4 linked regions of the Anolis sagrei genome follow. The protein of the gene in region 1 interacts with the protein of each later gene in a pairwise test. Links are inferred from orthologs where the notes say so. Each region holds a gene or a part of one and is shown in the gene's direction. Other genes may lie near its edges.

Region 1 (6,843 bases):
TTTTACCGGAGGGACGAGACGGATGATTTGGAAAGTGTGACCTCTTCCTTGACCATGTCTTCCAGGGAGGCCTGGATGCCGGCTTGGAGCAACTCCTCCTCTATTAGGGCTTCCTGGAAGGCAGAGAAAGGTACAGCAGGGGACAAGGAAGGACTTCCTCTTGTCTGTGATGGGGATTCACTTGGGAAAAGCTCTGGGAATTGAATACTGGATGCTGCGTAAATCCTGGGAAGGAAAATGAATGTGAGGTCTGGTCTAGGGGTAAGTCAATGTTCATACTGAAAAGGAATCAAAGTGGGTAACATAGGCTTACTCTTGTGTTTTAGCAGCTGCCATGGGGTTCGTAACCGGAAGGCTTCTGGCTTCTGGGGGCCGGACGAAGTGAAGGAACGGAGGGATTTGGATTTGAATCCTGCTATGTATCCTTTCTAAGAACCTGTCCGATGGTTCAAGGAGAAAGAAAATCCCAGCACGGTCTGAGATATGTCAAGGATTAAAACCAGATTTGTTGCTATTTTTGACTTCTGACCTTTGACTAATGTTTCCCAACGACAGTATTTTTTTTGAGAGAGAGACTCCCTTTGGTTTTGAGCTACTGGACGTGGACTACATTGTGGCTACTTTGGACAAAAGGCCTGTACCTTCCTTACGCTCCCTGTAGGTCATTTGGGGTAATTGGTGGCCAATTTTGACCCCTGGCCTTTGGCTAAACATGACCCAAGGATATCTTTTTGGAAGGACTCTTTCACTATTGGACTGCTAGTCATTGGAGCCAGAAAGAAACCAGAAGGGCTACACTTGGGTTACTTTGGGCTAGAGGTCACTTTTGAATGTTGACCTTTGGCTAAATTTGATCTAAGGCGAGAGTGAGGTTTTGAAGGGGGGAGAAGACACCACTATTGGCTCAGCAGACCAGTCATTTGGAGGTCTTCCTCTCCCATGCTCCCGAGAAGTCATTTGAAGGTATCTATACTCATTTTTGACCTGTACCTTTGGACTAAACATCACCCAAATCTATATTTTGGCCAGTTTAGGATTCAAGGATACACGCCAAACCAGTCAAGAGGCCACAGATATGGAGGAGGAAGGATGACTGGGGTGAAAGGGCCTGGGTCAGCCCCACCAGTGCTCCGGCCAGCAAGGCGGTGGACATCCAGCCAGAGAGCCCCTTCCGCCACTGCTGAGAACCCAGGAAGACCAAGTGGACCGGAGTGTAGCCACTGACTACAGCATTTGAGTGACCGCCCCAAAGTCCGGCCAGAAGGAGGTACATCAAGGCTGAGATGACCGCCCCAAGGACAGCGGTGTAGAGGAAGTGTATGGTGCCCATGCGCAATTCTGGCCGCCATCCAAAGAGCGGGAAGAAGAGAAGGCTGACTGACAGGAGAGAGATGTCTGAATGGCAGAGGCAGTATGTTACGAGGCGGAAAGCTGCAGGGAAGAAATTGACACAGGTTATTGCGCACTCAAATCCGTCAAAATATGGGCAGAAGGTGACAACTAACAAAAAGGGAGTCCTTCCCAAAAAAACACGGTGCATAACAGGATCCTCTGTGGGATACAATTCTCACGCAATCACGGACCTGGGTATTTTTCACAATAGTGGAATTCTGTTCTCCCGCAATAAAGGGATACTGTGTGTGAGCAACAGTGTAATAGCAGGACAGGAGTATTGCTATTGCTCAGAAGCATAATACAGTTTTTGCGAATTACAAATGGGCACAGTATTTGATGCACAATAGCAGGATATAGGTATTGTGGTACAGAATAATAAGGTTATTTGTGGAATAGCCCAATAGTTACAGTGCAAATGAGAAATAGTTAGGGTCCAATGGCATAATATAGCTGTTGCGCGATAGCACAATATTCCTGCACAAAATGGCATATTGGCTATTGCTCAATGTTGTAATATCATTATTTTACATGTAAACAATATGTTGCTTTTCCAATTTCATAATATGCAATTGCATATTAGCTTGATATAGGTAAGTGTCCAATCGCACAATATAGTTGCCGCGCATGGTAGTGTAAAATAGCAGAAATGTGAATGGGCAATAGCAGAAACTGTGGTGGGCGATAGCATGATACCCTTTTTTGCGCAATCATGGGGAATGCTTTCCTTATTTTCTGGCTGAAGCATGCCATAGGGTCGCTCAGAAGGGCCAACAAAAGCCAGTGCGATTCTATGGCTAGCCTACCTTGCAAGGGATTTGTGAGCAGGCCGGGCACTAAGGCCAAACCCTCCTCAATGTCCATCCACCAAACAAGGAAGAGAAGTCCCATGAGGCTGGAGGAAGCAACAGGGGGCCACTGCAAGTCCCATTGTCCACGCCAAAGCCGTCGTATCCGCATTCCCCTGCAAAGCAACAAGTCCTGTGATTGAAAGAGTCCCTTTGGGGAGAAAGGACAGGTGAAAAATAAAGTATTGTTCTTATTATTACAACTTATGATATAGTACAATCAGAGGCGGCCCTAGATAATTTTCAATGGTAAGCAAACTGTATTTTGCCCCCCCCCCCCCCAACCAATCACTGATATATATTTTCTGTTTGTCGTGGGAGTTCTGTGTGCCATATTTGGTTCAATTCCATTATTGGTGGAGTTCAGAATGCTCTTTGATTATAGGTGAACTATACATCCCAGTAACTACAACTCACATATGTCAAGGTCTATTTTCCTCCAAGAGCGCCCCTGAGCAACATCAACTATACTGCAAATGCTTACTTTGCGTAATGGGTTGAGCCGCCCCTGAGTACAATGTATTATATAATTGTATAATATATATAATATATAATATATATAATAGTATAATATACTGCTAGTGTATTATATACATTGTGGCATAATACTATAGTACAAGATAATAATATATAATAATATAATTGTTTATTATATATTACTAATAATATTGCAGTCTAGTGGTATAATAATTTATAATGCTAATATTGTGCTATACTCATAATATAATATATACATATAATATTATTAATAATATTATAATGAGTCCCCTTGGGGAGATAGGGCAGTATGTTTTATTATTATATAACAATAATATTGTAATTTACCAATACTAATAATAAAAATAAGTAATACTGATAATATACAATAATATATCATGGTATACTGTTTTATTGTTGTATATTTGAAGTTGTAATGTTTTTGATTGTGAGCTATCATGCCCAGTCCTGCTTTTCAAACTCACCTGGACAGAACCATTTCCTCCCCTCTATGCAAGCCTTTGCTGTCTTCGCACCCCTATTTCCCTTCATTGGAAGAGTCCAAGACTCATCGTTGAATAAGAAGAGCAGGGGATACCAAGGAGAATAAGGGGGCGGGAAGAACGTGGCGTTCTTCTACATTGGCCTTCATTTGCTCCCTCCCGCCCCCTTTTCCCTTTCATTGGAAGAGTCCCGTGCCATAGCTTCCTAACAGAAGGTCGGAAGAGTCGAAGTCGGAAAAGGGGGTGAATAAAGCTGCACAGTGGGAGGGGCTTAGGCTTAGACTCCTCCCATCACTCAAGCTCTAGCCTCATTTCCCCCTCACTTCACTGTACCCTTTCGTTGGAAGTGCAAAAGCTTATACAAGGGCGGGAGATACCAAAGCGGATAAGGGGCGGGGGAAGTGATTCAATTTCCTCTCTGGAACGAATCCCTCTTCCATTGCATTGGAAGACTCTGAGAACGAAAAGCTTCGACAAGAAGGACGGGGGATGCCAAAGTGGTACAAAGGAGGGAAAAGCGATTAACACCCCTTTCCTTTCCATTGGAACAGTCCCAGATTGGGTTTCTATATAAGGAAGGCGGGCGAGGCCAAAGAGAGAAAAAGCGGGTGAAGAAAGAGGCGGCGGAGGAAGAAGCGAGTGGGGCTCCTTTGCGCATGCGCGGCATAGAGCCCGTTGGAAAGGGGCAGGGCTCAAGCGGCTGAGAAGAAGAAGAAGGAGGAGGAGGGAAGATGGCGTCGACGGGTGAGGCTGGCTCGAATGAGGGCCGCGTGAAGTGGGAAAAGGAGGGAAATGGGCCCCTCTTGAGGGGAATTTAAGGGAAACTGGTGTGGGAATATTGGCGGAGGCGGACAAACGAAGAGAGGGGTCGCTTTTGAGGGAAAAGAAAACGGTTTTGGGAGGAAAATGGAGGACAAAATGGTTCCTCAGGGAAGGCCCAGGAAGAGGTGGTAAAAAATCACCTTCTAGTTGATGTACTGCCATCTATTTCCTATTTATCTCTCTCTGAAACGCGTTTTTTATTATTTTAAATAACACTTAAAATTTTTTATTTGATTTGATCGATTTATATCCCGCTTTATCACTATTACTCTCAATATTTGTCTATATAATCTACTATTAGCATAGGGCAATATTAGTTTGTTGTTTATTCGTTCAGTCTATATTATATTATGATTAATATTATAGTATTACATTATAATATACTAATAATAATTATTAATCATAATATAATATATTATATTTGAAGTTGTCATGTTTTTGATTGTGAGCCACTTTGAGTCTCCATAGTGAGAGATACAGCAAAATATAAATCAATCAATTTTTATTTTATGCTAATAATGTAGTCTATGTATAATACAAATATTATATATAGACCATATTATTAGCATAAAATAAAAATTGATTTATATTTTGCTGTATCTCTCACTATGGAGACTCAAAGTGGCTCTCAATCAAAAACATGACAACTTCAAATATGCTACAATTAAACAGTATTATAATTATCAAAACTAGTATAATATTATCAAAACTACAGTTAGGTGGATCTGTAATTGGTTAAGTGAACGCGCCCAGGCGGTGATTCTCCCTAATGCTTCCTCTTCATTCTGGAAAGGAGTGAGGAGTAGAATGCCACAAGCAGGGTTCCGTCCTGGGCTCGGTTCTGTTCAACATCCTTATTAATGACTTAAATGAAGGGTTAGAAGGCACAATTATCAAGTTTGCAGACGACACCAAATTGAGAGGGAGAGCCAGTACTCCAGAAGACAGGAGCAGAATTCAAAACAATCTTCACAGACTAGAGCAGTGGTTCTCAACATGGGGTCCCCAGATGTTTTTTTTGCCTTCAACTCTCAGAAATCCTAACAGCTGGTAAACTGGCTGTGATTTCTGAGAGTTGTAGGCCAAAAACATCTGGGGACCCCAGGTTGAGAACCACTGGACTAGAGAGATGATTGGCCAGAACGAACAAAATGAAGTTCAACAGGGACAAATGCAAGATACTCCAGTTAAGTAGAAAAAATGAAGTGCAAAGATACAGAATGGGAGACGCATGGCTCGAGAGCAGCACGTGTGTGGGGAGGAAAGGGAACATGAGCCAACAATGTGATGCAGTGGCTTAAGTCAATGGGATTTTGGCCTGCATAAATAAGAGTATAGTGTCTATATCCATGGAAGTCATGCCAACCTTCTATTCTTCCTTGGGCAGACCACACCTGGAATCACACCTTGTCCAATACTGGGCACCACAATTTAAGAGATATGTTGACAAGCTGGAATGTGTCCATAGGAGGGCAACTAAAATGATCAAGGGTCTGGAGAACAAGCCCTGTGAGGAGCGACTTTAAGAGCTGGGCATGTTTAGCCTGGAGAAGAGAAGCATGAGGGAGACATGATGGGGGCTATGAAAAAAGATGTGAAGGGAAGTAATAGTGAAGTAGGAGCAAGCTTGTTTTTTGCTGCCCTGGGGACTAGGATGAAGAACAATGGCTTCAAACTACAGGAAAGAAAGGAGATTACACCTGAATATTAGGAAGAACTTCGTAACTGAGAGCAGCAGTGGAACTCTCTGCCCCGTTGTGGAGGCTGAATGGCCTTCTCTAGGGGGTGGGCTGTGAATGTGATTTTCCTGCTTCTTGGCATGGGGTTGGACTGGATGGCCCACGAGGTCTCTTCCACTTCTCTGATTCTGTGATACATTATTATATATAATCAGTAGTAATTTTATTTAATATATTGGTGTTACCATATTACATTCTTCTTATTATGTAATAATAAAACTTGATATACCATACTTGATCTCCCCAAGGGGACTCATAATATTATATAACAACAACTTCTTTTTAACGTGCCCTCTCTCCCTGGAAGGGACTCAAGGCAACTTCCAAAAACGAAAAATGGTAAACATTCAATGCCATGTGCAAATAACAAATTAAAACAATTAAAGCAAACAGTTAAAAATAAAACAATTGAACAACATTGGCTAAAAGATACAACATATAACTCAGTCAGGCCTCATAAATAACCCCATTAAGCATTAAAGCTGTTACAATCTATATAAAATATAAACATATAAAAAAACATAAAATATATAAATACGTAGCTCTTCAATAAGTTAAGGAATTAGTTATAAGTATAGTTCTATATATTATTAGCATAGCACAATATTAATATTATATATTATATTGTGCTATACTATTAGACTAATATTTTAATAATATATAATAGAAAATTATATTATTATACTATATTATTCCACCACAATATATTTAATGCACTACCAGTATATTATACTGTTAGCATTCTATAACATATTGTACTATATCATAAATTGTAGTATATATAACATATCACATTAATATATATAATATGCTAGTATTATTACATTACAATGTTATTATTTCTATATATTATTATATTGTATATATAGAGAGAGAATCAGGAATCTTTTTTTTCCTCAGTAGAAATTCCATTTTAAACAATTTTTCGTTATTATTGGTCATTTTATTTTTGGAATCTTTTAAAAGCATTATTTATTGTGATTAATGGTAATTTTATTTCTTTAACCTTTCAAAAATATCTTTTGGATAATTATTCCTTTTTTCCATTGATGATGATTATTA
Region 2 (7,710 bases), on another chromosome or scaffold:
CATTGCCTGGAGCAATCTTTAAACAGAAGCTTGATGGCCATCTGTCGGGGGTGCTTTGAATGCAATTTTCCTGTTTCTTGGCAGATTGGGGTTGGACTGGATGGCCCATGAGGTCTCTTCCAACTCTATGATTCTAAGGACATTGTAAATTCCCAAGATTCAATGGCATTAAACTATGGTGGCTAGGGTAGTATCAAACTGCATTAATTCTACTGTGTGGATGCACACCAAAACAACAACCTGAGCACCAAACCACACTCCCCTTTGCAAGCCTTGCGTGCGAAGCAGTTTGTGAGAGCTTTTCCTTTTAAAATTTATCAGTGAAGCGTCTATCCAATTCCTCAAGGGAGACCAGCTGCTATTTCACAAATGCCGCTCTGCTTCGGCATAATCTCTTCCTCCTCTGTTCCAACATGAGGAACTAGCAAGCATTACATTAATAGCCCTGGGAGTCGGAAGAATTAGGCAATTGCCATGGAATTCGCTGGGTTTGTCCTTGTCGTCATAAGTATCCCTAAGGACAGAAGTGGAGATGGGGGGAGGCATGGGAGGATGTTTCCAATTATTTATATAATGTTTGCAAAGCCATGTTTGGAGAACACACAGAAGAGAATCAAGGAAGGTTAACAGCAAAATAGTTAAGATGATCGTGCCTGTTTTTAAGGTTACTGTTGCGCGGTCACGCGCTGGGCCTATAGCAGTTGGCTTTTGAACAGGACGTGCTCTTTGTGCCCAGCGGGAAGCCGGGGTGCCTCGAGTGAGAGGCCCTAAGGATTTTCCTATACAAAAGTCTTTAGAAGCTTAAAAAGTTTATAGAATCATAGAATCAAAGAGTTGGAAGAGACCTCCTGGGCCATCCAGTCCAACCCCATTCTGCCAAGAAGCAGGAATATTGCATTCAAATCACCCCTGACAGATGGCCATCCAGCCTCTGTTTAAAAGCTTCCAAAGAAGGAGCCTCCACCACACTCCGGGGCAGAGAATTCCACTGCTGAACGGCTCTCACAGTCAGGAAGCTCTTCTTCATGTTCATAGAATCATAGAATCAAAGAGTTGGAAGAGACCTCCTGGGCCATCCAGTCCAACCCCATTCTGCCAAGAAGCAGGAATATTGCATTCAAATCACCCCTGACAGATGGCCATCCAGCCTCTGTTTAAAAGCTTCCAAAGAAGGAGCCTCCACCACACTCCGGGGCAGAGAGTTCTACTGCTGAATGGCTCTCACAGTCAGGAAGTTCTTCCTAATGTTCAGATGGAATCTCCTCTCTTGTAGTTTGAAGCCATTGTTCCATTGCGTCCTAGTCTCCAGGGAAGCAGAAAACAAGCTTGCTCCCTCCTCCCTGTGGCTTCCTCTCACAGATTTATACATGGCTATCATATCCCCTCTCAGCCTTCTCTTCTTCAGGCTAAACATGCCCAGCTCCTTAAGTCGCTCCTCATAGGGCTTGTTCTCCAGACCTTTTATCATTTTAGTCGCTCTCCTCTGGACACATTCCAGCTTGTCAATATCTCTCTTGAATTGTGGTGCCCAGAATTGGACACAATATTCCAGGTGTGGTCTAACCACAGCAGAATAGAGGGGTAGCATTACTTCCCTAGATCTAGACACTAGGCTCCTATTGATGCAGGCCAAAATCCCATTGGCTTTTTTTGCCACCACATCATATTGTTGGCTCATGTTTAACAAAGTTCTTTATCATTTCTTACGTCTTCAACAAGCAATCAAATACTTCTTGGATCTTCAACAAATTAAACAAATGCTTCTTAACTTGTCTACAAAGGACAGGCAACTTGCTTGGAGAACTATTTCTTTCTTTAACAAGGAAAACCCTTTTTGACCCTCCCGGGCAATCTGCTTTCTAGGTTCTGCTGGTGTGGGCTTCTACTCCCGGCTCCAATTGCTTCTGGTTACCCGAGTAGACCTACCAGTCAAGACTTTGTAGATTTTCCAGCTGGAGTCCTTTTGGATTTTCTCCATGAATGGTGTAGATCAGTCTTCTTCTTCTTAGGCGATCCCTCGTTTTCCGAGGAGGATTGTCTTCCAGTGTTATTGTGGGTCCGTATGTGGCTGTGGAGCCCTATTCTTGCTCTGCATCTTCTTCCGCAGTGAGGGCATCGGTTTCCAGGTGGAAGGCGGTCTTGGTCGGGGTTGGCTTGATGCGCTTTCCTCTTGGCATGTTTCTCTCTTTTGCCCTCCATTCATGCCTCTTCAAATTCTGCAGCACTGCTGGTCACAGCTGACCTCCAGCTGGAGCGGTCAAGGACCAGGGCTTCCCAGTTCTCAGTGTCTATGCCAGACACTATAGTAACAATTTATTTATTTATTTATTTATTTGGTTTACTTTTACCCCGCCCTTCTCACCCCGAAGGGGACTCAGGGCGGCTTACATATCCAAGGCACAATTCGATGCCCGTAACATACAACAATAATAAAACACAATAGCACAAAATAGCAAACAATAACAATACATCATATCTATAACCAATAAAGCCCATAAAAATTTCATACAAACCGATACAAACCAATTGCTCCTTATTGCCGGTCAATATTTGCTACCTCATAGTTCAGAGTTTCATTCCACACTTATCAGTCCTGCCGGTCCTATTTTTCTGGTTGTCCTTACTTGGTTGGCAGATTGCCCGAAGGCCTGGTCCCACAACCACGTCTTTACCTTCCTCCTGAAGGACAGGAGTGATGTCAATGTCCTGATATCCGCCGGGAGTGAGTTCCACAGGTGAGGGACCACCACTGAGAAGGCCCTGCTCCTTGTCCCCACCAGCCTCACTTGGGAAAGTGGTGGGGTCAAGAGCAGGGCCCCCTCTGATGTTATTAGATTCCGTGGTGGGACGTAGAGGGAGATACGTTCGGACAGATACACTGGACCGGAACCATAGAGGGTTTTGTAGGTTAAGACCAGCACCTTGAATTGGGCTCGGGACTGAAACGGCAGCCAGTGGAGCTGACACATCAGAGGGGTGGTATGCTCTCTGTATGTCGCTCCAGTGAGCAGCCTGGCTGCCGCTCGCTGGACCAGTTGAAGTTTCCGAACCGTCTTCAAGGGCAACCCCACGTAGAGTCCCTTCTTAAGACCATTACAACTGCCAACAATGATGGATCAGGACCACAATTTACACAGAGACCCAGCATGACCCACTCTACATCTGGTGCGGTTAGGAAAAAATTGTCAATGGATGATGGGACTTGCAATCACTTCACTCACTTCCTGAGACCACTGACTGATCAAGACCAAATTTGGCACACAGAGTCCCCATGACCCACTCTACATCCTGGTGCACTTTCGAGGAGGACAGACCATGGATGATGGGACTTCAAGTACCTCCACTCCCCAAGACTGCTGCAACCCTCACCTAATGTCCGATCAAGACCAAACTTGGCACACAGAGCCCCCATGACCCACTCTACATCCTGCTGCAGTTTTGGAGGAGGACGGACAATGGATGATGTGACTTCCAGTACCTTCACTCACATTCTGAGACCTCTGCAAACCTCATGCAATGACTGATCAAGACCAAACTTGGCACACAGACCTCTCATGACCCACTTTACGTCCTGGTGTCATTTGGAAAAAAATGGAGATGGATGATGGGACTTGCAGTAACCTCACTCACTTTCTGAGACCACTGAGACCCTTGCCAATGACTAATCAAGACCAAACTTGGCACACGGAGCCCCAATGACCCACTCTACACCCTGGTGCAGTTTGAAGGACAGACCATGGATGATGGGACTTCCTTCCCAAGATTGCTGAAACCCTCATCTAATGACCGATCAAGACCAAACTTGGCACATACAGCCCCCATGACCCACCCTACATCCCGGTGCTGTTTGAAAGATGGACGATGGATGATGGGACTTGCAGTACGTTCACTCACTTCCTGAAACCATAGCGACACTCATTCAAAAACCAATAAAGACCAAACTTGTAACATAGAGCCCCCATGGCCAACTCAACATTCTGGTGAGGTTTGGGGAGTACAGACTATGGATGATGGGACTTCAAGTACCTCCACTCACTTCCCAAGACCTCTGCAACATTCATCTAATGACCGATCAAGTCCAAACTTGGCACACAAAACCCCCATGACCAACTCTCCATCCTGGAGCAGTTTGGAGGGGGATGGACCACAGATAATGGGACTCACAGTAACTTCACTAACTTCCTGAGACAACTGCGAGGCATATAAATAACTGATAAAGACCAACCTTGATACACAATTCCTTTCTCAAATAACCCGGGCAGCGCCGGGTCCCCAAGCTAGTATATAATATAATTCATCTAATATAATATAGGAAGATTGTATATTTAACATATATTGTAATATAGTAATAGTAATATTACTCCAGCAGCAAGATCTTTTTGAAAGTGCAGGTCCCATCTCCCACCAGCAGGGGCCGCTGTCGCCTCTGAAGCGGCTTGCCCATTCATGGACTGAAATTGGACGAGGATTCCGCTGAAAAGGGGGCGGGGCGGGGGCGGGGCTTGGATCATGTAAATGCAGGCTCCCTCTCACACCAGCAGGGGCCGCTGTCGCCTCTGAAGCGGCTTGCCCATTGATTGGACTGAAAAGGGGGCGTGGCTTGGATCACGTGATGCACTCTGCCCCGCTCTGCATGCTGCCAAGGCTCGCGGCGGGCGTCACGTGGTCAGGGGCTCCTCCTCTCTTCTCGCGAGAGCTGGGTCCATTTCCGCTTCCGCTTCCTTGCTTGTGAAGAAGAAGAAAAGAAGAAAGCGGAGGAGAAGGAGTCTCGCCCGTGTTCCTCACTGTGAGTCGTTAAGATGTAATATAAGGTTATATTAAGTGAATTATATGTATAATACTCCATTATATGTGACTATACAATATGACTAGATGATATAATACTAGATGAATTATATTGTATATAATATTAATTAATAATTAATATATTATATTGTACATAATATTAATATATATTAAAATATCATTTACATTATTTATGACTATACAATATATGATATAATACTAGATGAATTATATATAGTATTAATTAATAGTTAATATATTGTACATAATATTAATATATATTAAAATATCATATAAGTTATATAATATATATTATTACTATATTTTATTGTATTATATATTAAATATTATATTAGATTAATTATGTATTATACTGTTACTATATTATGTTACATTATATATTAATATACAATATTCCTATATTATATTAATTGAATTATATTATATATAATATTAATTAATAATTAATATATTATATTATACATAATATTAATATATTAAAATATCATAAGTTATATAATATATATTATTACTATATTTTATTGTATTATATATTAAATATTATATTATATGCATTATATATAATATCACTATTACTATATTATATTGCATTATGTATTAATATACAATATTCCTATATGATATTAGATGAATTATATTATATATAATATTAATTAATAATTAATATATTATTCACAATATTAATATGTAATTCTATATTAGATAAATTGTATAATATGTATTATTACTATATTATATTGTATTATATATTAATTAATATATTAGATGACTTATATATAATATTAATAATATATTATACATAATATTAATATATAATACTATATTAGATGAATTATAGATAATATTACTATTACTGTATTATATTACATTATTTATTAATATACAATATTCCTATTAGATGAATTATACTATATATAATATTAATTAATAATTAATATAGTATACATAATATTAATATGTAATTGTATATTAGATAAATTGTATAATATACATTATTACTATATTATATTGTATTATTTATTTATTAATATTATATTAGATGAATTATATAAAATATTACTATTATTATATTATATTACATTACATCTTAATATACAATATTATTATATTATATTAATTGTATTATATATAATATTAATATATTACACATAATATTAATATGTAATTCTATATTAGATAAATTGTATAATATATATTATTACTATATTATATTGTATTATATATTAATTAATATTATATTAGATGAATTATATATAATATTAAAATTACTATTATATTACATTATATCTTAATATACAATATTACTATATTATATTAGATGAATTCTATAATACATATAATGTAATATATATTGTATATACATATAATATTTATATTACATGTAATATTATTAATAATATTACAATATAATGGTATAGTACAATATAGTAATATTTAATACTGATATTGTACTATGCTAATAATACCATATATTGTATATGTGTATATCTTGTAAGCCGCTCTCAGTCCCCTTCGGGGTGAGAAGGGTGGCATAGAAATGTCATGTTATATATATATATATATATGTGTGTGTGTGTGTGTGTATACACACACACACACACATATACATATATATATATACATAATATTAATGTATAATACTATATTAGATGAATTATATATATATTACTGTTACTATATTATATTACATTATATAGGAATATACAACATTGCTATATTATATTAAATGAATTATATATATTAGGATATAATATTAGTATATAATATTAGATGAAGCCACGAAGATTCCGTGAGTGACATTGGGTCATAGAATAATAGGGTTGGAAGGGATCCCAAAGGCTATCTAGTCCAACCCCCTTCTTTCTGTGGCAATCAACCCTCCCTCTCACCACCCACCCCCAACAGATGCCCATCCAGCCCCTGTTTAATTTCAACAAGTACAAAGGTAAGATATGACACCTAGGCAGGAAAGAATGAAATGTGAAGATACAGAATGAGTGATGCCTGGCTTGACAATAGAACATGTGAAAAAAGATCTTGGAGTCTCCGTGGGCAACAAGCTGAACATGAGCCAAGAGTGTCATGCAGCAGCTCAAAAAGCCAATGCAGTTCTAGGATAGTGTCTAGATCAAGGAAAGTCATGGTGCTCCTCTATTATATTCTGCTTTAGTTAGACCTCTTTGCCTGGGATACTGTGTCCAATTCTGGACCCCACAGTTCAAAAGAGATATTGACTTTAAGCTGAAAGGAATCCAGAGAAAGGGATAATCGAAGGTCTGGAGAACATGAAAAACCTCTCTTAGAGAGCTGGGTCTGTTGAGAGGAAACCCAGAAGAGAAGGTTGAGAGGAGACATGGTAGCCATGTATAAATATGTGAAATGATGTCATAAGGAAGAGAGAACAGGCTTGTTTTCTGCTTCCTTTGAGACTAGGACTCAATGGAGAGGAGATTCCACCTGAACATTAGGAAGAACTTCCTAACTGTGATAACTGTTCAACAGAGGAACATTCTGTCTTGGAATTCAGAGGAGGCTTTTAAACAGAGGTTGGACAGCTATCTCTCAAGGGTGCTTGGTTGTGCTTTTCCTGCATGGTAGGGAGTTGGACTGGTTGGCCCACGAGGTCTCTTCCAGTTCTATTATTCTGAGGAGCTGGGGATGTTTAGCTTTGAAAAGAGGTGCCATGACAGCCATATTTCAGTATTTGAAAGGATGTCACATTGAGGAGGGAGCAAGCTTGTTTTCTGCTTCTCTGGAGATTAGGACACAATGGAGCAATGGATTTAAATGCCAGAAAAGGAGATTTCATGTAAACGTGTGAAAGAATATATTGGCAATAAGAGCTTTTTTGATAGTAGAATATGCTTCTGCCTGGGAGCCCAGTGGAATCACCTCTGGGGGTTT
Region 3 (7,428 bases), on another chromosome or scaffold:
AAATTGTTAGTCCCGGGCCATCTATTAAATTCATGACTTTAGCAGGAGCTTAAGAAGTTACTTTTAAGAAGAAACACATAACATTTTTTCCAGTTATGAATGAATGTCATTGCATTCATTTTTCTTTAGAGTAAAATTCTAAAGTTTGTATTTCTGGAATTTCTTCTCTGGGGACATACACATGAGATCTTTTTTCCACCTTTAAATAAAAAGAAGATGACAACCAGCCTAAAAAGTATTTGGATGTTTTGTTTTGAAATTCTCTCTCCCAAAACTTTATACTTTGCTGCATATTAACAAACAAATGCATTAAAATATATCTATTTAGTGCTGGCAGTGGAAATATAAATAGCTTTAGTTATACATTTGTTTTACAAGGCATTCTACATAGGAATATAAATCAGTGAGAGGGGAAAATATACACCTCTAAAACTTTGTCAGCTTTTTAAAATTTCTTAGTGCTTTTAAAACTCATTTGTTTGCTAGAAGAAAACACTGCAGATATCAGGAATACCAGAAATAGGGCACTGGACGTTTGCATTTTTTGTTTGGAATCCACCCTGAGTCCCTTCAGGGAGATAAGAGTAGAATATAAATAAAGTGTTATTGTTGTTGTTGTTATTATTATTATTATTATTACCCAGATGAGTATCTCTGAAGCATAATGGAGCTTTGAAGACCTAATTAACCATTACTAAAATTTCATTTCAAAAAGGAAAAAAAACACATAATGAAGGAGGTATTCTAATCTGTCCCTTATTCCTTCGGCATTTAGGAAAGGAGGATGATGTGTTTTGTAATCTTTGTCCTTACCATTGTATTTTCTTCTGTATATGATTGTAAAAGCTGAACAGTGAGGAAAGCCTATGTCTACTCATTTGAAATGTCATGCCAAAGAAGAGTTCTGTGACTGCCAAAAAGACAAATAAATGGGTCTTGGAGCAAAGCAAACTTGATCGCTCCCTAGAAAGCAAATGACTAGACTTAAACTTGTACTTTGGACGTATCATGAGAAGACATGACTCATTAGAAAAGACAATTGTGCCTAGTAAAGTAGAAGGCAGTAGGAAAAGAAATCATGCATTAATTCGACAATGTAAATAAGGAATGGCCAAACTTGGGCACTCCCGTTGTTTTGGATTTCAACTCCCACAATTCCTAATAGACAATAGGCTGTTGGGAATTGTGTGGGTTGAAGTCCGGGGGCCTCATCATACTAGAGAAAAAAATCCACTTAAAATCCGGTTGCTGCCTCCTGCAGAATTAATGATTTTTACTGTATTCCTTATTGTTATATGCTGACAGCATCACATGATGCTTATGTGAGGCCGCCCTGAATCCCCCTTCAGGGGGAGAAGGGCAGGATAGAAATCTATATAAATAAAAATGTAATGTTCGTTTGTGGGATTAACAGAACTCAAAAACCAGTGGGCCAATTGACACCAAATTTGGACAGCATACACCTAACAACCCAATGTATGTCCTTGACTCAAAATTTTTTGATTTTGTCATTTGGGAGTTGTAGTTGCTGGGATTTAAAGTTCACCTACAATCAAAGAGCATTCTGAACTCCACCAATTATGGCATTGAACCAAACTTGGCACACAGGACTCCCATAACCAAAAGAAAACACTAGAAGAGTTTGGTGGACATTGACCTTGAGTTTGGGAGTTGTAGTTCACCTACATCCAGAGAGCACTGTGGATTCAAATCTGGACCAAACTTGACCCAAATGGATCTGGACCAAACTTGACCCAAATATTTCATATGGCCAAATATGAACACAGATGGAGTTTGGGGGAAATAGACCTTGAAATTTGGGATTTGTAGTTACTGGGATTTATAGTTCACCTACAATCAAAGAGCATTCTGAACCCCACAAACGACAGAATTGGGGCAAATTTCCCACACAGAACCTCCATGACCAACAGAAAATATTTAAGGCCATCCAGTCCAACTCTTCACTGCAAGAAAATTCAATCAGAGCTCTCTTGACAAAGAGCCATCCAGCCATACAGATAGATAGATATGATTGACACACACACAGATATAGTATCATAGATTTTAAAGAGACCCTTAAAGATATGTTGCATATTCCAGAGTAGGCAAACCAGACACTCTCCACATCAACATTGACAAAGAAACAGCAAGCAATACTGTTTACCCACAAGCATAAAGAAATTACATATTTATTATTATTATTATTAACTTTATTTGTACCCCGCTAGCATCTCCCAAAGGACTCGATGCGGCTTACATAGGCAGAGGCCTCAAAAGACAACAACATAACAATACACATAACATTATAAAGCAAATCAAAAACATCAAGCAATAGACGATAAACAATACACCATAACACAATTAAAAACTAGGGCTGGGCCGATTGTAATGGGTACAGATTAAAAGGTGCTGAGTATGACAGGTAACATGTAGGATTTTAGGGTAAGTGCAATGTGCAGACAATCTTAACTCTCTGATAAAGTGCTTCTGGGACATATTGCTGGAGTTTCCTATTCTGGAAAGGCACACCGGAACAGCCAGGTCTTCAAGCTCTTCCTAAAGACTGCCAGTGTAGGGGCTTGTCTGATGTCCTTGGGGAGGGTGTTCCAAAGTCGGGGGGCTACCACAGAAAAGGCCCTGTCCCTCGTCCCCACCAAACGCGCCTGTGACACAGGTGGGATCGCGAGCAGGGCCTCTCCGGATGAACGAAGGGAACGCGTGGGTTCATAAAAGACAACAACATAACAATACACATAACATTATAAAGCAAATCAAAAACATCAAGCAATAGACTATAAACAATACACCATATTTATTTATTTATCGTGTCATCCGCAACCAGAACATTGTATTACATTTCTAACAGAAGAAAACAAACAAACATTAAAAAAACACACAAATTTTGCAAACTTGGTAGCTGATTAAATGTCCTTTGACCAGTATCTGGCCACTTGGAGTGCCTCTGGTGTTGCCGCAAAAAGGTCCTCCATCGTGCATGTGGCAAGGCTCAGGTTGCTTTGCAGCAGGTGGTCAGTGGTTTGCTCTTCTCCACACTCACATGTCGTGGATTCCGCTTTGTAGCCCCATTTCTTGAGGTGGGCTCTGCATCTCGTGGTGCCAGAGTGTAGTCTGTTCAGTGCCTTCCAAGTCGCCCAGTCTTCTGTGTGCCCAGGGGGGAGTCTCTCATTTGGTATCAGCCATTGATTGAGGTTCTGGGTTTGAACCTGCCACTTTTGGACTCTTGCTTGCTGGGGTGTTCCAGCGAGTGTCTCTGTAGAACTGAGAAAACTATTTCTTGATTTAAGTCGCTGACGTGCTGGCTGATACCCAAACAAGGGATGGGCTGGAGATGTCACTGCCTTGGTCCTTTCACTATTGGCTGCTACTTCCCGACGGATGTCAGGTGGTTGCTATACCGGCTTTTGTTGTTCATTCGTTCAGTCGTATCCGACTCTTCGTGACCTCATGGACCAGCCCACGCCAGAGCTCCCTGTTGGCCGTCACCACCCCCAGCTCCTTCAAGGTCAGTCCAGTCACTTCAAGGATGCCATCCATCCATCTTGCCCTTGGTCGGCCCCTCTTCTTTTTGCCTTCCACTTTCCCCAGCATAATTGTCTTCTCTAGGCTTTGCTGTCTCCTCATGATGTGGCCAAAGTACTTCAACTTTGTCTCCTTCCCTCCAATGAGCAGTCGGGCTTTATTTCCTGGAGGATGGACTGGTTGGATCTTCTCGCAGTCCAAGGCACTCTCAGCACTTTCCTCCAACCCCACAGCTCAAAAGCATCGATCTTCCTTCGCTCAGCCTTCCCTAAGGTCCAGCTCTCACATCCGTAGGTTACTACAGGGAATACCATGGCTTTGACCGGCTAGACTGTGTAATTTCTCCAGTGGTGTAGGGCGCAGACACCCTGTGATGATGCGGCATGTCTCATTAAGAGCCACATCCACTGTTTTAGCGTGGTGAGATGTGTTCCACACCGGGCATGCATACTCAGCAGCAGAGTGGCATAGCGCAAGGGCAGATGTCTTCACTGTATCTGGTTGTGATCCCCAGGTTGTGCCAGTCAGGTTTCGTATGATATTGTTTCTAGCACCCACTTTTTGCTTGATGTTCAGGCAGTGCTTCTTGTAGGTCAGGGCACGGTCCAGAGTGACTCCCAGGTATTTGGGTGCGCTGCCATGCTCCAGTGGGATTCCTTCCCAGGTGATCTTCAGAGCTCGGGATAGGGCATGAATTAAATATATAAAATAAATGTTGTCAATTGGAACCGGAAGTGTGGGTAAAACAGAGCACGCTCTCCTTAGCATCCTCTCTTTGACGTATGGGTTGAGCTCATAGATAGGTTGCGGGGTGAGGTAAAGCCCAGCCTCGAATGACGAAGCGGCGGTGATTGGTCGAAGGGACGGAGCCTGTTGCGATTGGCTGACTCTCCGTCACGTGGCGCGGAGGCTGGTGTCGGTGGGGAGACAAATAAACATGGAGGCCATCTTTCACGAGAGGGTGAGTGGGCGCCTTGGAGGGGCCACGCGGGATCCGGCAGGGAGGCGGGAGAAGCCAATTCCTTGTCTTCTCGGAAGAAGGAAGGAAGGAAGGAGGGCTTGTCGCTCCCGCTGGAAGTTGAGGCAGAGAGCTGGAGGCCTTCCGGGGAAGCCTCCTACTCGGGGACCGAAGTTAATGTTGTGAGGAAGGAGGGAAAGCTGTATCTACATCAGGCATGGGCCAAGTTGGGCCCCCCAGGTGTTTTGGACTACAACTCCCACAATTCCTAACAGCCTACGGCTGTTAGGAATTGTGGGAGTTGTAGTCCAAAGCACCTGGGGGGCCCAACTTGGCCCATGCCTGATCTACATTGTAGAAATGGGTGGAGTTCTTGCTGGTGGCAGTGAGTCCCAAATAGGGAAGTATGAGTCTCAACATGGAGGAGGAGGAGGAGGAGGGTGTGTGGGCTCAGCCCTGTTTTGTCAGACACTTAATCACAACCCTGGCATGGGAGCTTCTGCTACTGGTCCACCTGCTTGCTCCACTTCACTGACATCTGTCATGATATCACTCTTACAATCATAGAATCGCAGCGTTAGAAGTGAAAAGTAATTAGACAGGTAATTGTGGGGTGGATGGTGACTTGAATACCTGCTGGATACAAAGAACATGAGCTGAATCATGAGGAATAATAATAATAAACTGTATTTATACCCGGCCACCATCTCCCCAAGGGGACCTGGGGTGGTTTACATGAGGCCAAGTCCAATCTATATAAATAAAAATGTAATGTTTGTTTGTGGGATTAACAGAACTCAAAAACCACTGGACGAATTGACACCCAGTTTGGACACAAGACACCCAACAACCCAGTGTATGTCCTTCACTCAAATTTTTTTGATTTTGTCATTTGGGAGTTGTAGTTGCTGGGATTTATAGTTCACCTGAGTTCGCCTTCAGGAGGAGAAGGGCAGGATAGAAATCTACATAAATAAAAATGTAATATTTGTTTGTGGGATTAACAGAACTCAAAAACCAGTGGGCCAATTGACACCAAATTTGGACAGCATACACCTAACAACCCAATGTATGTCCTTCACTCAAAAAAAAAAAAATGATTTTATCATTTGGGAGTTGTAGTTGCTGGGATTTATAGTTCACCTACAATCAAAGACCATTCTGAACTCCACCAGTGATTGAATTGGACCAAATATGGCACACAGGACTCCCATGACCAACAGAAAATACTGGAAGGGTTTGGTGAGCATTGATATTGAGTTTGGGACTTGTAGTTCACCTACATCCAGAGAGCACTGCGGACTCAAACAATGATGGATCTGGACCAAATTTGGCACGAATATTCCATATGCCCAAATATGAACACAGATGGAGTTTGAGGGAAATAGACCTTGACATTTGGCAGTTATAGTTACTGGGATTTATAGTTCACCTACAATCAAAGAGCATTCTGAACCCCACCAATGACAGAATTGGGGCAAACTTCCCACACAGAACCCCCATGACCAACAGAATATACTTAAGGCCATCGAGTTAAACTCCCTTCACCAGGGCAAGAATACATAATCAAAGCCCTTCTGACAAAGAGCTATCCAGGCATAAATATAGATAGATAGATATGATTCACACACACACAGAGATCATAGATTTGACAGGGACCCCTAAAGAAGGACAATTATGTTCCATATTCCAGAGTAGGCAAACCAGACCATCCACACATCAACACTGACAAAGAAACAACAAGAAATTACATATATTAGAAACCCACACTTTCACATTACTTTATTTTCCAGATTACCAGACTGGGCCACAGCAACGCGTGGCAGGGGACGGCTAGTCTATTTAAATAAAAATGTAATGTTTGTTTGTGGGATTATCAGAACTCAAAATCCACTGGATGAATTGACATCCAATTTGGACACAAGACACCTAACAACCCAATGTATGTCCTTCACTCAAAAAAACTGATTTTGTCACTTGGGAGTTGTAGTTGCTTGGATTTATAGTTCACCTAAAATCAAAGAGCATTCTGAACCCCACCAACGTTGGAATTGAACCAAACTTGGCACACAGTTCTCCCATGACCAACAGGAAATACTGGAAGGGTTTGGTGGGCAGCGTCCTTTGGTTTTGGAGTTATTTATTTATTTATCGTGTCAGGAGCAACCAGACATTTGTATTACATTTTTAACAAAACAAATAGATAAAAAACAAAGTTTGCAAGCTTGGTAGTTAATGAAATGTCCTTTGACCAGTATCTGGCCACTTGGAGTGCCTATGGTGTTGCCGCAAGGAGGTCCTCCATTGTGCATGTGGCAGGGCTCTCAGGTTGCATTGCAGCAGGTAGTCTGTAGTTTGCTCTTCTCCACACTCGCATGTCGAGGATTCCACTTTGGAGTTGTAGTTCACCTACATCCAGAGATCACTGTGGACTCAAACAATGATGGATCAGGACCAAACTCTCCACGAATACTCAATATGGCCAAATGTGAACACTGGTGGAGTTTGGGGAAAATAGAATCTTGACATTTGGGAGTTGTAGTTGCTGGGATTTATAGTTCACGTAAAATTACAGAGCATTCTGAACCCCACCAACGATAGAATTGGGCCAAACCTCCCACACAGAACCCCCATGTGGGCCACAGTAACGCATGTCAGGGGATGGCTAGTAGTACAATAAAGCAATATACAACAGAAAAAATAACATACAAAATCAATACAAATATACACATCAAACAATATAAAATCAGAACACTTGAACACAGAAAATTAATCACAGTGGGCAGGGCCAGTTGCAAAGAATTAAAAATTTAAAAACACTGGTTGAGGGAGCAATGTAAACTGTCAGGATAGCAGATCCGGGGGACAACGTATGATTACTAGCAGGAAAAAAGTGCTTCCAAGGACATTTTTGCAGGATTTGGCCAGGT
Region 4 (6,863 bases), about 19 Mb from region 1:
GGGAAACTGTGACCTCCACTAATGATGGACTTGGACTAAACTTGGCATACAAAACCCCCATGACTAAATCAACCTACTGGAGGGATTTGAGAGGACTGACTCACCATAGTGGGAGTTGTAGTTTATCCTACAGCCAGAGAGCACACTGAACCCCACCCATGATGCATACAGAAAGCAAACTTGCCCAACATAGCAAACTTTAAGTACTGATGGAGTTTTTTCGGGGTTAACCTGGCATGATGTGAGTTGTAGTTCACCTACAACCGAATGCATTTTGTACAATTTAAAAAATCCTTTTTCAAATAAACCAGGTAATGCTGGGGACCCAACTAGTTTAGAAATAAATATAACATAACATACAGTAAATTAAAATAATAAAATATAATACATATAATTAATATAAAATTAAAAACATACCGGCAAAATGAATGACTGCAGGGGAGGAAGCCGATCAGTGTATCCATCGATCCATTTTTCCAGCTCTGAAACCGGCTTTTCGTCAAAGCTAGTTCGTTCTGGGGGAGGTAATTTATCCCTAATCAATTCCCGTTATTATTATTATTTTAATTTAATTGTTATATTTAATTATTTTAATTACTTAAATGAGCCTCTCGGGCCGACGAGACAGGGGTCGCGATGTTGGCACCAGCATCTTGCAGCCTGCATTGAACCTATACAGATATAGACTTATATAATATGAAAAATAATATGAAAAAATCTTTTAAAATACCAAACCCAGAAATTAATCTTAAAAAATGAAAAAATCTGAAATATAGTCTGAAAAACAACTAGAAAAAACATAAAAAGAATCTGAACAATATAAACAAAATCTAAATGAAAACAACACCAAAATAAATTAATGAATTAATCTGAAATATAATTTGAAAAATAAATATGCAAAATAATATAAATAAATTCAATAAAATAAAATAATGTGAAAATTATTTCATTATTTAGGAAAATCTTAAAATAATATGGAAAAATATTAATAAACTCACCTTATGAAGTTCTTCTTCTGCAAAAGAGTGACCTCCTTCCTTCCCAAATTCAGAACTCAATCTAAATTAAAATTATTATTATTTATTTATTTTTATCCTGCTAGGGATGTTTATTTTTATGTATTCTTAAAATATATTTACTGAAACATTATATTAAAATAAATATATATAGCAAATATTATATTTATTTTAATTTATATATTATATTGATTGAATAGAATACCCAATGGCTGAACTGAGTTCGTCCAAAGTACCCAAAGCATCAAATATCCAGTCGTCCTTTGGCCTCCGTTCCCCAGTAAATGTGCTGGAAAAACCTAAATAATAATAATAATAATATAAACATAAACAACAACAATAATGTAAACATAATAAGCACATAAATAATATTAAAATCGATACACATAATAAAATTGAAAATGTGTATGTGGAGGAGGTGTAATTACACAGGCTACCGTTTCCACAAACATCTGTAACCTCCACCATTCAAGAGACACAAATGGCCATTGCAATGTAAATTGCAGGGTTACAGTAAGCGCCACATCCCAGTGTTCCCTTCTCTCTCCATTGGTGTGCCTTTCCTATGACACACAGCAAACAGGAATTGATCAGCAATTGAAGAAGAGGTTTGGGAATAATTCACCATGATTTATAGCAGTTGTAGTTTACGTAAATCCTGAGAGAACTGTGAACCCAACCAAAGATGGATGTGGACCAAACTTGCCATGGATGATGGGATTTGCAGTACCTTCACTCACTTCCAGAGAGCACTGAGACCCCCACGAATGACGGACCAGGACCAAACTTGGCACACAGACCCCCCATAACCCACTTAACGTCCTAGTGTGGTTTGGGGGAGGATGGACCACGGATGATGGGATTTGCAGTACCTTCACTCACTTCCAAAGGCCACTGAGACCCCCATGAATGACGGACTGGGACCAAACTTGGCACACAGAGCCCCCATGACCCACGTCCTGGTGCAGTTTGAGGGATAATGGACTATAGACGATTGGGTTTGCAGTACCTTCACCTGATTCAACCTCCAACATACACAGAAAACTGTGACCCCTCACAAATGACAGACCTGGACCAAACTTGGCACACAGACTCTCCATTACCAATAGAACATACTGAGATGTTTGGGGAAAATTGACCTTGATTTATGAGAGTTATAGTTCACCATCTATAGAAACGATGACCCCCAAAGACAATGGATCTGGACCAAACTTGGAACAGAGAAGCCCCACAACCAACTGAACATACTGCAGAGGTTTGGGGGCTTGACCTTGATTTTGGGAGTTGTAGTTCATCGTTATCTAGAGAAAAATGAACGCAGCTGACGTCAGATCTGAACCAAACTTGGCACACAGAGCCCTGGTGACCAAGATAACATACTGGAGGGGTTTGGTTTTTTTTTGGGGGGGGGGGGGGGTGGGGGTGGAATGAGCCACCTGCGTGGAAGTTGTAGTTCACCCTACATCCAGAGATATTACCAAACTTCCCAAAACAAACAATGCCTTTTTCAAATCACCCAGGCATTGCCAGGCCCCCAAGCTAGTAATATAATTTTTAAAAATTATACATACACACACACCTATATAGATAGAGAGATTATAAATGGGAATATAAATAGGAATATGAATAAGAATAGGTCAATGATAAATAATACAAATATTAAGTTATATATGTATATATGTAGACATACAGATAAATAATATAAAGGATACAAATAAATAAGATTATTAATAATAATAGGAATATAAGAATAAGAAATTTGATATATAGATAGATAAATAGTATAAATCATATAATATAAATATATAATAATATAAATAATAAAAATATTGCAAATAAAGGAGAAACAAAGAAAAGTAGACATAAATAATACAGATAAACAATCATATAAATAAATAATATAACTATAATATAATCCTGACCTGTGTCCCCTGTCTTGGTGTAGATCTTGAGTTTGGCTTCCTGCCTGCAAAAGCAGGGGGAAAGGGTCATTGCGCTCTCTGCACATGTTCACAGGCAGCCTTGTCTCCCCCCCGCGCATTACCTGGGCTTCTCCCCTCCCTCGTGGCGGTTCCTGATCCCAAAGTGAGCCGCCAACGCCCTTTTAAAACAAACGCGAACTCCGAAAAGACCCATCTGATTCGCCATTACGGAGAAAGAGTGGAAACGCTTTTTTTCCGGTAAAGTTTGTCCCTTCAGGGCCGCCGTGAGGGGGCGGGCCTGATGGGGAGACGCCAACCACGCCTACCTATCGCCTCATTGGTCGCGTGAGGCCCAAAAGAAAGGCGCTCAGCCAATCGGCGCGAGAAGTAAATGTGGCGCCCCTCTCCCATTAAGATAAAACGAGAAGCCGGAGTTTTCGGAAGCAAAGCCACTCTTGGCTGCTGCTCGATTGGTCGAGATGACAGAGACTCGAATTTCTATTGGTCGAGATAAAAGAAGAGGCGGGACTCTTTGTATAGCCACGGTTGATTGGTCGAGAGAGGTTCATTGGGAACCTCAAGGAGAGGGCGTACTTTTGTGCTTTACCCTCAGAAGCCAAGCCACGCCTACCAGCCGCCTGATTGGCCGAGAGACGGCTATTAGGCAACACAGAGAGGGCATGGATTTTTTTGGCCGTGCCTACATATTGCGTCATGGGTCGAAATGGTTTTGTTAGGAAACAGAGGGCATGTTGTGTTTTCCCCTCAGAAGCTAAGCCACGCCTACTTGCCGCCTGATTGGTCGAGAGACGTCATTTAGGCAACAGAGGGCGTGCTTTTTGTCCTCTGGCTACGCCCCCTCACGCATGATTGGCCGAGAGGGGAAAGCAGAGGAGTCGCTCCTCACTGTTATTGGGCGGCGCGCACAGCCTGAGGCTTGGCCACGCCCCAATGGAACCTTCAGGTGAAAGCGTCAGGCGAGAGGAGTGTGCCGGCGGTGAAGAAGAGGCGGCCATGCGGAAGAAGAGGCAGCTCGTGCTCTCCGCGCCGGGGAAAGTCATTCTGCACGGAGAACACGCCGTCGTGCACGGAAAAGTAGAGATTATATTCTACATTCAATATTTCATTTTGTAGATATATGGTATTCATAATATTTCGTATTTAATTGTGATATTTAATATTTGTATTTAATTATATAATCTAATTTTCGTTATTTATTTTTATTATGTTGTATTATTTATCTTTTAATTAATATTTCATTATTATTTTCCTTAATATTAATACATTTTATGTCATTATTTTATTTAATATTTATAATTGTATTATTATTTATATTTCCTTCCATTTAAATATTTTATTTTTATTATTTTATTTTATGTAATATTTATTATTTTACTTAATATTTTTATTTTATTATTTTATTAAATATTTAATGGGAGGGTTGTCCGCTCCCTATAAATCGCTCCAGTTAGCAACCTGGCCGCCAACCTTTGTACCATTTGCAATTTCTGGGCTGTCTTCAAAGGCAGCCCCACGTAGAGTGCATTGCAGTAATCCAATCTGGAGGTAACTAAGGCATGGACCACCATGGCCAAGTCAGGCTTCTCAAGGTACGGTCGCAGCTGGCGCACAAGCTTTAACTGTGCAAAGGCCCTCCCGGCCACCGGCAACACCTCAGCATCAAGTGTCAACACTGAGTCCAGGAGGACCCCCAGACTGCAGACCTGTGTCCTCAGAGGGAGTGTGGCCCCGTCAAGCACAGGTTGCCACCCTATACTCCCATCAGCCCTCACAACTTACCAGGAGGACTTCTGTCTGGTTAGGATGAAGCTTCAGCTTGTTAGCCCTCATCCAGTCCAGAAGAGCTTTTGACCCAAAGAGTTATAGATGGAAAACATATTTGATTTAAACATCCAGTCCATCACAACGGAGTAGTAGAGTTGAGTGTCATCTGCATAGAGATGGCACCAAACTCCAAAATTCTGGATGACATCTCCCAGCAGTTTCATGTAGATGTTAAAAAGCATGGGGGAGAGAATAGAACCTTGCGGGACCCCACAGGTCAATGGCCAAGGGCCCGAGTAGGTGTCCCCCAGCTTCACCAACTGGGTGTGATCCTCCAGGAAGGACCGGAGCCACTGCAAAGCATTTTCCCCAAGACCCATCCCAGAGAGCCGGTCCAGAAGTAGACCATGGTCGATGGTATCGAAAGCCGCTGAGATGTCCAAGAGAATCAACAAGGACACACTTCCCCTGTCCAGCTCTCTACAGAGGTCATCCACAAGATGATCAAAGCAGTCTCCATACCATGACCAGGCCTGAAACCAGACTGTAATGGATCAGTTTCATCCAAGAATCCCTGGAGCTGAGAAGCCATCCCTCACTCCACAACCAAGAAGGGGAGATTAGAAATTGGCCAATGGGTATTCAATAATGATGTCTTCTTCAGGATTGGTCTGTTTTAGGCAAGATGGAATTTGTCCTTGATCCAACAAGGGATTCATAATCCTTGCAAACCACTCAACTAATCCCCAACTGGCAAGTTTGATAAGCCAAAAAGGGCAAGGATCTAGAGCACATGTGGTTGCTCTCGCCGCTCCCAAGATCTTATCCACATCATCAGTCTGCACAAGCTGAAACAAACCCAACAAAACTGGACAGACAGGTCCCTCAGTTACATCACTTGGCTCTGCACTAAAACTGGTGTCAAAGTCATAACGTATCTGGGCGACTTTGTCTGCAAAATGATGAGCAAACTCGCCACATTGAGCTGTCAAGTGGTTGGGGGTCCCCTCCTACTTTCAAGGATGAAAGAGTTCCCCAACCACCCAAAACAACTCAGCTGGTCTGTTAGTTGCAATGTGGGCAGCCAAAAAAGCCTTTCTGGCTGCCCTCAATGCCACAGAGTAGGCCTTACATGAGGCTCTAGCCCAGGGGTCCTCAAACTTTTTAAACAGAGGGCCGGGTCACAGTCCCTCAAACTGTTGGAGAGCCGGATTATAATTGAAAAAAAAACAACGAATGAATTCCAATGCACACTGCACATATCTTATTTGTAATGCAAAACCCACTTAAAAACAACACAATAATTAAAATGAAGAACAATTTTAACAAATATAAATTTATTAGTATTTAAATGGGAAGTGTGGGCCTGCTTTTAGCTTTTTTTTGGTCATGTCAGGAGTGACTTGAGAAACTGCAAGTCGCTTCTGGTGTGAGAGAACTGGCCGTCTGCAAGGACGTTGCCCAGGGGACGCCTGGATGATTTGATGTTTTATCATCCTTGTTGGAGGCTTCTCTCATGTCCCTGCATGAGGAGCTTTGGCTGGTGAGATAGAATTGTTGTCGTAGTTGTGTGCTTTCAAGTCCTTATAGATTTAGGTTGATCTTGAGCAAGGGCCGGGTAAATGACCTTGGAGGGCCGCATCCGGCCCCCGGGCCTTAGTTTGAGGACCCCTACTCTAGCCCGTGATTGATCAGACATGCTCAGAGTTTTCCGCCAAAAGCACTCTAGTCTCCATCTCAATCACTTCATCATAGCCAGCTCCTCAGTGAACCAAGGAGCTGGGTTGGGTCTGTATGATGGCAAGGAGATCGTGTCCACCGCCCTGGCTACCTTGGTGTTAAAAAGGCTTAGCCAGGATTGTCTACTGCCATGACAGGAAGAGTCCCAAGAGAAATCAGGAGTCCATCCAGATCCATAAGTCTCCTGAGGTGGACTATCTTGATTGGTCCACCACCCCTACAGAGGTTGGATGCTGCGATTAGTCTAAAACCGATGGTCGGTCCATGACAATGGGAGAATGGTTACACTCTGTCTGAAGGCACAGGTTCACAGCTTAGGAGTCCTCCTAGATTCGTTGTGGAGCCTGAAACCACAGGTCTCGGCAGTGGCCAGGGGAGCATTTGCACAACTAAAACTTGT

Evidence for each region.
Region 2: the proteins of EWSR1 (region 1) and MAPK1IP1L interact in binary tests that used the Homo sapiens proteins (3 or more experiments, as listed by UniProt). The link is inferred for Anolis sagrei from reciprocal best matches to the Homo sapiens genes EWSR1 and MAPK1IP1L.
Region 3: the proteins of EWSR1 (region 1) and ATXN3 interact in binary tests that used the Homo sapiens proteins (3 or more experiments, as listed by UniProt). The link is inferred for Anolis sagrei from reciprocal best matches to the Homo sapiens genes EWSR1 and ATXN3.
Region 4: the proteins of EWSR1 (region 1) and MVK interact in a two-hybrid assay, tested with the Homo sapiens proteins (2 studies listed by BioGRID and IntAct). The two-hybrid records come from large-scale screens. The link is inferred for Anolis sagrei from reciprocal best matches to the Homo sapiens genes EWSR1 and MVK.

Annotation. Positions count from the first base shown.
Region 1 is NC_090034.1:48,576,959-48,583,801, forward strand, and holds the start of EWSR1 (RNA-binding protein EWS), read left to right. Parts: upstream 1-3,829; 5' UTR 3,830-3,951; coding exon 3,952-3,964; intron 3,965-6,843. Other genes in the region: RHBDD3 (rhomboid domain-containing protein 3), read right to left, coding at 7-225, 314-476, 1,048-1,431, 2,199-2,356, 3,203-3,216. UniProt on the Homo sapiens protein: Binds to ssRNA containing the consensus sequence 5'-AGGUAA-3'. Might normally function as a transcriptional repressor. EWS-fusion-proteins (EFPS) may play a role in the tumorigenic process.
Region 2 is NC_090021.1:337,014,110-337,021,819, reverse strand, and holds the start of MAPK1IP1L (MAPK-interacting and spindle-stabilizing protein-like), read left to right. Parts: upstream 1-4,684; 5' UTR 4,685-4,786; intron 4,787-7,710.
Region 3 is NC_090021.1:315,863,042-315,870,469, reverse strand, and holds the start of ATXN3 (ataxin-3), read left to right. Parts: upstream 1-4,408; 5' UTR 4,409-4,477; coding exon 4,478-4,501; intron 4,502-7,428. UniProt on the Homo sapiens protein: Deubiquitinating enzyme involved in protein homeostasis maintenance, transcription, cytoskeleton regulation, myogenesis and degradation of misfolded chaperone substrates.
Region 4 is NC_090034.1:29,479,238-29,486,100, reverse strand, and holds the start of MVK (mevalonate kinase), read left to right. Parts: upstream 1-3,861; 5' UTR 3,862-3,889; coding exon 3,890-4,033; exon of another isoform or gene 4,034-4,076; coding exon of another isoform or gene 4,077-4,079; intron 4,080-6,863. Other genes in the region: corrinoid adenosyltransferase MMAB, read right to left, coding at 418-515, 599-671, 999-1,059, 1,222-1,315, 2,939-2,982, 3,061-3,164. UniProt on the Homo sapiens protein: Catalyzes the phosphorylation of mevalonate to mevalonate 5-phosphate, a key step in isoprenoid and cholesterol biosynthesis.